Mus musculus: one gene and its partners. The protein of the gene in region 2 purifies or fractionates together with the protein of the main gene of each other region. This does not show direct contact. Links are inferred from orthologs where the notes say so. Each region holds a gene or a part of one and is shown on either strand. Other genes may lie near its edges.

The links.
Region 1: the proteins of Ctnnb1 (region 2) and Cdh3 purify together in Homo sapiens (affinity purification with western blotting; 7 studies listed by BioGRID and IntAct, with this or other methods). This does not show direct contact. The link is inferred for Mus musculus from reciprocal best matches to the Homo sapiens genes CTNNB1 and CDH3.
Region 3: the proteins of Ctnnb1 (region 2) and Tcf7 purify together in Homo sapiens (affinity purification with western blotting; 8 studies listed by BioGRID and IntAct, with this or other methods). This does not show direct contact. The link is inferred for Mus musculus from reciprocal best matches to the Homo sapiens genes CTNNB1 and TCF7.

What each region holds. Positions count from the first base shown.
Region 1 is NC_000074.6:106,509,439-106,513,687, reverse strand, and holds the start of Cdh3 (cadherin-3 isoform a preproprotein), read right to left. Parts: upstream 2,837-4,249; 5' UTR 2,730-2,836; coding exon 2,682-2,729; intron 2,465-2,681; coding exon 2,347-2,464; intron 1-2,346. UniProt on the Homo sapiens protein: Cadherins are calcium-dependent cell adhesion proteins. They preferentially interact with themselves in a homophilic manner in connecting cells; cadherins may thus contribute to the sorting of heterogeneous cell types.
Region 2 is NC_000075.6:120,932,234-120,936,255, reverse strand, and holds the start of Ctnnb1 (catenin beta-1), read right to left. Parts: upstream 2,857-4,022; 5' UTR 2,618-2,856; intron 1-2,617. UniProt on the Homo sapiens protein: Key downstream component of the canonical Wnt signaling pathway.
Region 3 is NC_000077.6:52,280,092-52,284,304, forward strand, and holds the start of Tcf7 (transcription factor 7), read right to left. Parts: upstream 2,837-4,213; intron 2,688-2,836; coding exon of another isoform or gene 2,621-2,687; intron 2,505-2,620; exon of another isoform or gene 2,463-2,504; intron 2,156-2,462; coding exon of another isoform or gene 2,127-2,155; coding exon 2,031-2,126; intron 1,673-2,030; exon of another isoform or gene 1,654-1,672; intron 1-1,653. UniProt on the Homo sapiens protein: Transcriptional activator involved in T-cell lymphocyte differentiation. Necessary for the survival of CD4(+) CD8(+) immature thymocytes. Isoforms lacking the N-terminal CTNNB1 binding domain cannot fulfill this role.

The DNA of each region.
Region 1 (4,249 bases), on a different chromosome or scaffold from region 2:
TGCACATACATACATGCAAACACATTCTCTCTCTCTCTCTCTCTCTCTCTCTCTGTCTCCTCTCTGTCTCATACACACTTGGGCTAGTGGATGAAAGTGTTTGCTGAGCAAGCCTGAAAACTTGAGTTCAATATCAGGAAGCCACAGAGGGAAGAAAAATAGACTTCTGAATGCACTCTGGCCACAAATAATAAATATTCTTATTGGGTGTTTTTGGTTCGTTTTGGTTTTTTGATAAAGGGTCTCACTATGTTGCCCTGGCTGGCCTGGGAGAGCATCTGCCTATGACTTCTGATGGGATTAAAGGTGTGCATCACCACCACAGCAAACTAAGTAATTTTTTAAAAAGGAGCTAGGATTTTGCTATAGTCTCTATGTTGGGCTAAATTCCTGGGACCAAGAGATCCTGTCTCGTCTCTGAAGCAGCTGGGACTATAAGCACACCATCTAGTTTGCAAAGTCTCAACTTACTAGCACTAAGTGGGCCGGAAACTTGCTTTCACTCAAGACCAAAGTGATTTCCCATTTCCAGGGAAGTCTGTCCCGAGAGTCAGTAGTGTTTGTCGGGAAAATCACGATGTGCCAAGCACATTAGTCTACTCTGTTTTATTAACCAGGTACATTCTTGGTACAAGCCTACCATTTTCACAATCATAAACCAGACATCAGAGAAAGCAGAATTTCCTCAGGAAAAAAAAAAGTTTTAAAATTGGTGATGTCACCAGGAAGCTCAGGCCAACTCAACCATGTAATCAAAACCCTGATCAGCAACCTCAAGCCAAGGAAAGTGGCGGCTAATCTGATACTTTTTGCTTCAGTAAGGAAGATAAGACACAACTCAAAGCTATACCTGCTCTCTGAATACAGCAGAGGATGTGGAGGTGGGGGTGAGGGCTGGGGTGGGGGCGTGGGGTGGGGGGAGGTGGATTTGGCAGAGATCTGGTCAGCCATAGAGCTTCCTCAGGGAGCCAGAATTGGATTTGGGGCCCTGGCCAAGTTAACATTTTTACAGGTTGGCTCAGTTGCAGTTTGTTAGCCCGCCAGTAATAAACCCATGTGCAAGAATTTAAAGTTTATGAGGCATGGCCTCTTACTGCCTAGGCTCCGGCTCCCTACAGCCAAGCCTTTAAGGAACCTAGCCTAGCCTGGGTGTTAATTGTTTTGTCAATCTGCAGAGTTATTTGAGGAAAAAAAAAATTTTTTTTTTAAAAAAGGCGTTCTACAGACACAAGGGTCTCACTTTTCTTTTGGAGAAACAAAGGAAAGTCATTCTGCTTCTCAGCGTGGACACCCCCATATTCAAGCTGTGGACGTGTGGACCTGGAGTGAGAAGCACTAGAAAATGCTAGGTGGCAGATGCTTTTTGGAAGTCAGCAGAAACTAGAGATTCCCTTCCCACGTTCTCTGGAACTTTACTTAAGGATCCGAGTTTAACAACTTGGGTTTAAACTCCCGAGAAAAATCCCACTGTCCTCTGTAGTCAAAGAGCCCGCTAACCAGCTGATAGATGCCCGAGTCTCATGACACACTGGTGGTTCTCAGTACCGAAATGACCCTCCACTTTTAAGTTTTTGAACTTGAGTGGAGAAAATCGCAACAGAAAGATCAAAATGTGCTTTGATCGCTCGCTCGCTCACTCACTGGTCGGCTTGGGACACAGACTGCCTTCCCCCCTTCCCCCGCGACTCAAGTAATTAACATCCTAGTACCAAGACGCTTGGAGTGAGGGACCTAGTGTTCCCGGTGCGTGATGCCCTCCGCCCAGGTGTGCCAGGCCATTCGCAGGCAGGCTGCAGGGGCGCAGGCCCTCCGGGAATGGCAGGGTTAAGAGTGCATTCCAGCTGCCCGGGAAGAAGGGGGGCGGGGAGGGCAGCCTGGAGAAGAGAAACAGACCGGGTCTGTCTGTCGGAGACACAAAGCACGGTTCACAAAGGGGGCCAGAGAAGGGGCGAAGGGGGCTGCTCAGGGCACGGTTCATCTCCACACCTGCGCGGGGGTTGCGGGAGGAATGTGCACTGCGCATTCCTCTACTGTGGCGGGGCGGGAGAGTTTTCCACGTCGGGGCTGGGTGAGGGGCTCAGCCGCGAGGCACCGAGAGGTCAAGATAAGCAACAACAGTAGCAGCGAGGCACAGAAGAGCTGGACGTTAGTAGGCGCACCGTTGCTCAGCCTTCTCGCGCCCAGCCCAGCCCGGGAGCCACTTTCTACGCCTCCCGAGGATGTGGGGTGGCTCCAAGACGTCCCAGCTCTGCTCTAGACAACCTTCCGATGCGCCACAGTAAAGCGAAGCACGTGTGGTCTTCCGCACTGTGGCTCCATCCAGGCTGGCTCCGGGAGGGGTCTTACCTTTCCCCAGAACTTGGCTCGGCTCCAGGTCAGTTCCTTCCACCTCCAAGGTCACTCCAGCCTCCCCGATGAAGCCCGCTCGGTAGGGCTCGGAGACCACGCTGCGTAGCCAGCAAACCTGAGTGTGAGGGTAGAAGGGTTAAAGAGGAGGCTGAGTCACAGGCATGCCTGGTTCTGTACACCCATTCTTGGGAGTCCTGGGGGGGGGGCCCTCCGGGACAACCTTGGCCCCAAGGAGCACAGCCCTAAGATTCCCCCGACGCCCGCAGCGTGAGAACCCCACCCGCCCTCCAGGGAACAATCCGGGTCAGGACCATGGCAAAGCACTGTGGTACCTGGAGCAGGAGGAGCAGGAAGGCGTGAGGCCCACTAAGAAGCTCCATAACTGAAGGGAGGTGAGAAGGCTGCCGCGACGGTGGGGCGCGCTCTGCTAAGCTCCGGGTGCAGCTTTGAGCACCGCGGCTCGCTGGAGCCCGCGGGAGGAGGCCAGGTGCGCTCAGGTAGCTGCTGATTGGTCCAACGTCACAAGGTCCCGCCCCCTCGCAGGTGGGGTCGAGGCCAGCCTGCCGAAGGCACTCTCGAAGCCCTAAAGGTCCTCCCTGGTGCCCTCCACCGGCCTCCCTGCTCTTCTGGAACTACTTCTGAAAGGTACCCCGTGGCTCTCGCAGTCTCTGGCTTCGATGGAAAATAATCTAACAAAACAAAACCCCCCAATCCACTCCACCTCAGCCTCTGCAGCACGGGAAGACAAATATTCCATTGCTGGCAGCTACAACGGAAAAAAAGTGGAGACGCATCTGAAACCCGACAAAAAAACAGAGGCTCCCCATTCATGCTACCGGAGGCGCTGTGTTCAAAGCTTTGATGAAGGCAGGGCGTGTCTTTACACCCGCTACAGAGGGGTCTGCCCTCTGCCACTTTCTCTACCTCCCACACTAGGCCGGGGAGGGGCAGGGGCGGGGGCGGGGGAGCGCTCCCGGGTTTTAAAAGTGGCATCGAGGTCTCAAAGGACCGCGCTACGCGATCTGATACACGTGTGAGAGAATAGTAACTTCCGTTTGCAGCTGGACAAATGGAAGGCAGCTAGTACAGAAAGTCCCAGAGTTTGGAAGCCATAGTAACTTCAAAGGGCTTGAGGTAGGGCACAAGCTATTTGTTATCAGCCCCATTATTTCTGGCACCCCCAATATAAATGTTTTCTTTCTCCAAATATAATTGTTTCCTTAATTTTATGTTAAATGCAAACAATGGAGATTTTTGCGTTATTTATTATTGTCATGTATGAATGGCCCATCGCACACATGTGAAGGTCAGAGGACGACTTTGTGGAGTTGGTTCTCGCCTTCCTCCTTTAAATGGATTCTGGGATTGAACTCAGGTCGTTAGGATTGTGCATTACCTGCTGGGCCCAAACTTTTTTTTTTAACACTTATTTATGTATTTATTTATTTTATGTGAGTACACTGTCGCTGTCTTCAGACACACCAGAAGAGGGCATCAGATCCCATTACAGATGGTTGTGAGCCACCATGTGGTTGCTGGGAATTGAACTCAGGACCTCTGCAAGAGCAGCCAGTGTTCTTAACCTCTGAGCCATTTCTCCAGTGTGCTTTACCTGCTAAACCATCTCCTTTGTCCGTTTTTTGTGTTTGCTTGTTTGTGTGGTTTTTTTTTTTTTTTCTTTTGTTTTGAGGCAGACTCTCACATTGTAGTCTCAGGCTGGCCTTGAATTCATTCAAACCTTCTGTCTCTGGCTCCTAACTGCTGGAATAAAAGACAATGACCCACAATGACCAGCTTAACAATGATGACTTTTTAAAAAAAGTGTAATGTGTCTCAGGCTGGCCTGAAACTATGCACCTGGGATGGCCTTGAACTTCCGATTCTCCTGCCTCTACCTTCC
Region 2 (4,022 bases):
AACACTTTTCCTTTTATAAAACTTGTAGCTAACCTAGGAACCACACCATGACCGGTGTTGCTGAAGAGCAAGCATCGCAGGGCTGCCTAACATTCCTCAAGCTGCGTCCTCTCAGGACAGAGGCTGCCTCCACAGGCCTCAGAACTGTAGCTGCTCATCTACTTTACTCTCTGTGGCATGAAGATGTCTTCAGTGAGATTGTTTTAAATAAAAAGGAGTTGACAGGGGCCACAAAACAACAAAAGAAAATGGAGTTAAAATGTTTGTACGTTTGCAAGGTTTTTACGAGTTTGTGAACACCGTTTCAGGAGTTTGTCCCTCGGGTTTGCTTCTGGCCAAGGACACTAAAAATTTACCACTAGGTGATGGGCAGAGACCACGACCTGGCCTCACCTCACCTCACCTCAGCACTGATATTTCAGTTGACTCCATCTACTTTCACTGTCCACTTCCTGCTTAGAAGTACAGCAACAAACGACTGTAAATATACCACTCCACTCCACTCGCCACCTGCAGTGTGCACAGGCTCTTGTCCATGCTCTGCCCTGAGTTTATTTGCAAAAGGGCTCCACCAGTTTTCCTGAGCACACATTTCAAAATACACTCCGACTAAGAAAGTTCCCCATCCTCCACCTTGGCGGTGGGATTCTGGGATTCTGAGACTCGTGAGCTAAGGCTTCACTCACAGTCTCTAGTCCCATCGTCACTACAGCAGTAGATACTTCCCTTCAAGCTGGAGACATAGATACCCAATATACAGTCTCTAAACTAGTGTTCTCAATCTGGGGGTTCAACAACCCTTTCACAGGGGTCACCTAAGACCGTGGGAAAACATTTACATTATGGTTCACAACAGTAGCAAAGTCAGTTGTGAAGTAGCAAGGAAAGTTTTACGGTTGGGGTCACCATAACAGTTGAGAAACTATTTTAACAGGTCACAACATCAGGAAGACTGACTGAGAAGCACTGCTCTAGACTATGAGAAATGATCACATGACAGTTAAACTCTATTTCTTCACGCCTGCATTCGATTAAATGTTTCCCTATCTGAAGATAGTCTTTTTACAGACTGTGAGGCCCAGGACTCTGTCCCAGGCAAGCTAAGCTTTCCAGATAGCCTGCTTCCTTAATTAAGGACTTCAGCCTGGGAGGGTTTGTTGTAGAGAAACATCTGCAAGTTTCCAACTTCCTTGCCACCACTAAAGGCCTTGTCCAGACTCGGCCTTGAGGACAAAGGTTAGGTAGGTCACAGAATGACTATCCCCAGTACCATCAACAATGTTGTCCGCTGTGAAAGGGCGTTCTCAAACAAACCTTGGAGGCACTTCATTTTAATTTCGGGGATTTCTGAATGTTTAAGGTGAAAGTGAACTAAATGTAACTGCGGGCCTTAACTCAAAGTTTGAGCCGGACATACAAAACCGAAATACAAAGGCCACAAGCTTAAGCAACATTAAATTAGAACCAAGAAAGCAAGCTCTTTCCCGGGACGAGGAGAGACTGCACTGAGACATCTGCAAACCTCAAGTAAATAGCGAAATGGCTTCCTAAATCCCAGACAAAACGCTTCACAACTTGGCCATGTGAAAAACATGAGGCAGACTTTATCAAAGGCAAAGCTGCCGTCTCCTCAGCTTGCTGTCTGGTCTAAGCCACCATTATTCATGGCACAAAGCTCTCGTTTCACTAAAACCACTCCTCGATTTCCTCTCGCCGACCTCCGCATACCAGCAGCCCAGCCGCTCTCCATTCAGAGCTCAGGCCCCGGGAGGGGGGCTGCGGGGGGCGCGGGGGAGGGGAGCCCACAGATGTCTGGAGACCCGAGCCCGAGACAAAGCTGCCCCGCAGCCAGCGGGCTCACCGGAGCGGGCCTGGGGTACCGAACTTGGGAGCGTCGGTTCCAAGTCTGGTCCCCCAAACAACACTCAGAACAAGTCGCCAGGCTCCCACGCCCTGGCGGTCCGCGCTCCGGCCACTCCGTCTCGCTCAGAAAGCAAACGCGCTGGGGAGAAACACTTGGAGCGGACCCCACACTTACTGGCTAAGGGCAAGTCCCCCTCCCCCAAGCCCAGGTTTCGGATCCCGCGCACCTCCCCCCCCCCCCGCCTCCAACACCAGGAGTGGCCGGTGACTCGTCCACGGTCCCAAATTCCCGCCAGGACCTCGGCCCCGCAGCCACCAACCCCACGCGAGTCCAAGAAGCCACCCTCCGAGAACACGCTCCTGACGCATCCCGCCCGCTGCATCCAAGTTTGGCGACTCCACGGCTTAAAGTTGTTTGGATTCAAACTCACAGTCAGGTCGTTGCAGGGAGAAAAAAAAATTTGTCTGTGCGTGCTCCACGAGGGACAGAGGGGACGAGCGCCAGGTCTCGCGTCCCCCCGGCTCCGCGGGCCACGGAGGCGAGGCCCCCGCCCACCCCGCCCCCGCGGCGGCCCCAGCCCGGACGCGAACCGCGGTCCCCACCCCCCACGGCGGCCAGCCGTCCATCCGGGCTCCCGGCGCGCGCCCGCCCGGCCCCGGCCCCAGCCCGCGCGTCCCCGCGGCCTCCCGCCGCCACCCGGCCCGCGAAGTTTCCCGCTGGCGCGGCGCGAGCCGGCCCGCCGCGGCGCCGCACCTCAGGCCCGCGCGCTGCTCACTCGCGGCCGCCCGCTCGGCCTCGGCCTCCTGCACTGACGGCTCGGCGCCCACCGTGCTCCGTCTCCGCCTCCCCGGGCCGCGGGCTTCACAGGACACGAGCTGACGCGGCCGCCACCGAGCGAGGGCTTAAGATGGCGCCGCACAAGGAGCGATTTATAAGCGGCGCGGCACCGTGTATCCTGCCGCTGCCGCTCCGCGCGGAGCGTTCCGCCGCGCGAGGACGAGGGGCGGGGCGCGGGCGGGCCGGGGAAAGTAGTCCCCGCCAGTCCGAGTCGCTCTGCGCGTGCGCCGCCGGGAGGGGCCGAGCCGGGGCGGGGCGTCCAGACGCCGCTCCATTGGAAACTAAAGGAATCGAGAGCGGGCCGCCGCCGCGGGCCGGGTGGAGTGCGGCCTCGGACGGCGCAGGTTCGAGGCTGCCATCACCGGTGCACCGGCCGCCACACCCCTGAACCACCATTGGACCCCACCACACTTTACCGCTCCCAGGAGTGTCCCGCTTCCCTTCCCGCTGTGCCTCTGGAATCCGGACAGGGAACCTGGGGCCCAGCCACCTTTCCTCCCCACCCCAGGAGGCCTTGGAGTCCCCAAGAGTGTCTGCGAACATCTATTAACAAGTGATTCAGCTCCACCACTGCGTTCACCAGCGTGATTCCTAGAAACCCCATCTTACCCAGACTCACTGGGTCAGTAGAACCAGGCGTGGGGACCAAGGACAGCGATTTTTCTGTATTGTTTGAGAAACTCGAGTGTGTTGCTGAGAGGACCTGTGGGTAACCTCTTAAATTTTCAAAACTAATTTTGTATCCTTCGAGAGCTCCCCCCCCCCCAAATCATGACAATAGGGTGAAGTTGGATCTTCTCTTGGAAATGGCCCCATTGTTGTCCTTCACGATTGGCACTTGTCAAAACTGGAGCAGTTGGGGTGAATTGGCTGTCTCCAGCCTATTATTCTGAGCTCACGTCTCTTCCCAAACAATGGCAACAGGGAAAGTTGCCCCACTGCCTTCTTTCATCCCAGCGCTGTAATTAACGCAAGTAAACAATAGGTCCTTATGTACAGGTACTGGCAGGAAGCCCATGCATCACTGAGGCAGGGCCGGTGCTGTAGGGCCAGCTTAGTTTTTAAATGACTCAATTTTCTATCTTAAAGACATATCACCGTAACTCTGTGAACCACCACAGTCCACCATGCTGGAGCTGCTCAGTGAGGGCCTTTGTCTAGACCTTTCCCCTCTGCAGCTCTGCTCGGATTTCCGGAGAGTAAACTCTGCTGCTGGCTGGGGCTGACTTGGCCTGCCATAACTCAGAGAGATAGAGCAGGAAAAGGTATTTTACCAAAGCCCTACCAGTGGTGGTTGCAGCTACCAACCCCTAATTTTAAT
Region 3 (4,213 bases), on a different chromosome or scaffold from region 2:
TCAGGTTTGCTAGAGACTCTCTCTTGGGCCAGGAAGACGGCATAGCAGCTAAACCGACTTGTGCAAGCCTGATGGTGAGTTCCAGCCTCAGAACTCATGTCACAGCGGAGAGAGCCAACTTCAGTTATCCTCGGGGTGTGCTTGCCCTCATATACATTACACACATGCACACACTTGTGTATATACACACATACACACACACACACACACATATATAACGAATAGTCTCTCTGCATTCCTACACATCTATGTCCCTAACCCAGCACCCCTCCAGCACAAGCCCCTGCTTCTGTCTTTGTTTCTTATTCTGCTCAGCAGCTGATACCATGGCCAGGAAAGTCAGTACCAGAGCCTACTCTCCCTCTCCCATGTTACCAGAAGGCAGTGATGAGGGCAGTGGCTGAGAAGGAGGGCAGGGGGACAGTGACGTGTAGTTATTCATCTGTTGTAGCTTGAGAAGGACCCCCAAAGCAAAATATGCAGAGCCCTAAACTAGGTGACTATGGTCCTGACTGTGGGAACCCACCATTCTCCTGCTCTTGGACCTCCCTGAGATCCATCACCCTTACCCTCAGGCTGAACAGTCACACCGCTAACTCATGCCCACCTCCGGCAGCTCTGGGCAGCTTATGTCTCTGGCTAAATCTGTGAGTAAACCTCCAAACCACACTGCCCTTTCCCCGTGTGGCTGGACAGTCCTGAACATCCACCTTGCCAGCAAGGTTCTGGGGGCTCTGCCTTTTGTCTCATCATGGCTACCGCAGTGAGCCTAGTCTCAGCCCAGACAATGCTTGCCAGTGACTTCAAAGGGGTAGGTTCTGCCAACTGACCCCCAGATGGCTTTACACCCATTAGGGGATTTTAAAAGGTTATCTTGGTTAAGCACTGTTTGTACAGGGCACAAGTCTCTATCTAGAGCATGTGGCACTGTCAAGTGGCAGTGTCAGGAGCCAGCCACCTCTTTACATACAAGAGAAGCACCTCATCTACCAAGCCATCCCAGAGCCGAAAGGCAGAGACAGACAGACAGAAGCCATCCCAGAGCAGAAAAGCAGACAGACAAACAGACCATTCTGTCAACACACACAGCTTACAGGTAAAGAATGGAGTCCACTTCTAAAGACTACCAGGTCTCCCTCGGCTAAGAGGCCTAGACTCCCTATCCTAGCCCCCTACCGGGGAGCCTTCTGCATGGGTCTGCCACTCGCCATCCAAGGCTCTACCCCGGGGCTCCAACCTGCACTGGGCTCACGGCGACACCCAACAGACCTCCATGCTTCCTGTACACCCTAACTCCTGACTGAGGACACTCTGGAATCCCAGTAGTTTTCAGGAACCCCAGAACTTTTCAAAAGTCATATTTGGCTGCTACCCAGCTCAGAACCAGCCCTTCACACTTTGCTTGCCTTGAAGGGCCAAAGCCATGGCTCATGATGAATACAGCCGTGTCGCCAAGCCTGACACTGATTCACGTTGCTGACCCCTAACCAACACCCTGATCTGTCCTACATTTAGCAAACCTTTCCTTGTGTGTGCGAGAGCAGCCCAGCCCGCTCAAAACCTACACCATGTGGCATGGGTCCTCGGCAAGGACTTATACACGGCAGTCAGGACACAGTGGAACTGGGCAACGGAAAAGATTAGGTCTCTTACCCAGTCTTCTCACACCCGAGTTCCCTCGCTTCTCTGAAGGAAAAAAAAAAAAGCTAACCACAGAGCTCTAGCTCAGAGCATGCACATCACGCTAGGGAATGGCATGGGCTCAGCTCAAAAACGTTTTCAACCCCACCGTGGGCCAACACAGGCACCTGCTTGAGCAAGTTGGGAAGACAAAGGTCAAAAGCAAGTGAGAAAGACTGGAGCCGGGGCGCTCCTTCAGAGATCTCCTTTTGGGTCAGACTCCTCTGGATGTTAACTGGGCAAGAGCATCTAGGAATTGGGCAGAGAAGTCCTTTTTTGTCCAAGCATCACCTGTGTGGTCAAGTAGGTAGCCAGCCCCATTACAGGGCCTGACTGCTTCGGTCACTTACCAGCGGGGGTTGAGGCTGCGGATGCTGCCCTGCTCCGGAGGCCGGTGGGTAGGGCATGAGCAGATTGAAGGCAGAGTAGACAGTCTCTTTGTACATGCCACTGGCACACTCCGGGGCCTTCAGGCCTGGAAAAACCACAGCTGGGTCAGACACCAGCCCAGCCAGCTGCTCCTAAGGACTGAAGGCTGTCTGCTCCGGAGGGGGGTTAAAAAAAAAAAAAAAACCCTGCCAAGGGGTCCCCTTCAAGTTCGTGACTTGACAGGGAACAGCGACCTCCGAACGGGTGGAAATATCCGCAAAGGCAAGTTTTTGAGGAAAGACCCCCGAGTCCAGACCTCCACTTCGCGACCGGGACTTGACTCCCTACCCCACCCTCCTGCTTGGGAACCTTAGCCAAGGCTTGCTCCTCAAGGCAAAGGATTAGTCAGTCACCTGGGCTGGAGGGGAGGCGGAGATGGCGGGGGTCTGTTTACTCCTATAAAGGTCAGGGCACCGGAAGTGACTCCAGCTCAGCGGCGCCCGGGAAACCCGCCCCCCACACCCCCACCCCCGGTTCTAGCGCCTTCTTCCCCAGCCGCGCAAAAACTCACCGTCCTCTAGGGACTCTGGAAGTTTGTCCGGGAAAAGTCTCTGCGAAGTGTGCTCCCGTCCCAGGGCCTGCAGAGCGAAGCAGAGGGGCCATGAGGAGCGGAGGGAACAGGAGGGGCTCCAGAGATGGGACCCACGAGGACCGTGGCGCGGGGGGGCGGGTCCGCACGCTACCAACTCGGGACGAGGTCCTCCGGGGAGGAGCGGGCCGGGCTCACCTCGGGCGCTCCCTCGGCTTCTCCATGTACTCGGACGCCGGGACCCGGGACCCCGGCGCCTGCGGCCGCGCCTTCGGACTCATTCACCAGTGAGGACTTGAGCTCTGCCAGGTCCCGCTCCGGGCCCACAGCGCTGTCGCGATTCTTATCGTCCTGTTCCTCGCCTTCGTCTTGGAAGGCCAGCAGCTCGTCGGGCGCGCCGAGGTCGTCGCCTGCGCCCGCGCCGCCCCCGCCCGAGTCCAGCTGCGGCATGGTGCGCTGCGCCCGCCGGGGCGCCGGGTGCGGGGCGCGGAGCCGGCCGGGAAGGCGGCGAGCCCAGGGTGCGGGGCTCCGAGCCCGGAGCGCGGCGGGCGGAGCGCACGCTGACTCCGCCTGAGCGGCCAGTGGGCGCGGGGCGAGGGCGCGGGGCACAGCAGCTTTGGGAGCCGGCGGGTCGGAACATCAAAGGCACCGCGGGCAGCGAGCCGGGGGCGGGGCGGGCGCCGGGGCGGGGCCGCGGTGGGAGGGGCTAACGTCCCAGGCCCCGCCCTCCCCTCCCTGGAGAGACCGGGACAGGCCCACTGGGAATAATCTTAAAGGGCTCGCTCTCCAGCTATTCTCTAACCTGAAATCCATTACTAAACTCTGGAACTCCATTTCCTTAACTATCATACAGCCACAACTTGCGTCCAAGTTGCGGAGAAGGTGGTTCCTTAGACCGGTGGAACCTGTGGATGACTTGGAACCTTGGTGTGAACAGCGTCCTTTGCTCAATCTGGAGGCTTCTTACGTCCCCGGGATACTAGATGGACCCTGACACACACACACACACACACACACACACACACACACACACAAACACCTGCCCTTTTGATCATCCCTGTGCCGATTAGGGACCTTATTCCAGACAGCCTGCTTACATAGACACAAGCATTAGCGCCTCACACATTTATTGAGCTCCTGCCTGTTGTTGCATGTGCAAATCAAACACTATAAATATATGACATGTGGTGGCTCGAGGCGAGGAAGGATCGTGGCCACTCACGTGGTTTCTCCAGCCCGCTATGACTTTTTCAACTAAGTTCGACGCTTAGAACCTGCTGTCCAGGAACTGAGACTTCCGGCGGCCACATGGGTCACGAAATTCTCTCTTGGGGTCTTTAGGCAGCTGCTCAGTCTGGGAAGTTGCATCCGGAGCCCATTGACTCAGACGCTAGTTAAGGCCGCGTCTTCAGTGGCATCTCCTTGGCACCCAGCATCGAATTCACCACGACCGATCACTGTTTCTGTAAGACACTAGGCCCTTTGGATAGCCATGCAGTAAACTGAAGGTCGCACACCTCCGCCTCAAGAACGTTTCGGTGTTGGAGTCAATGTAGACCTCTTCCACCTCTTGGG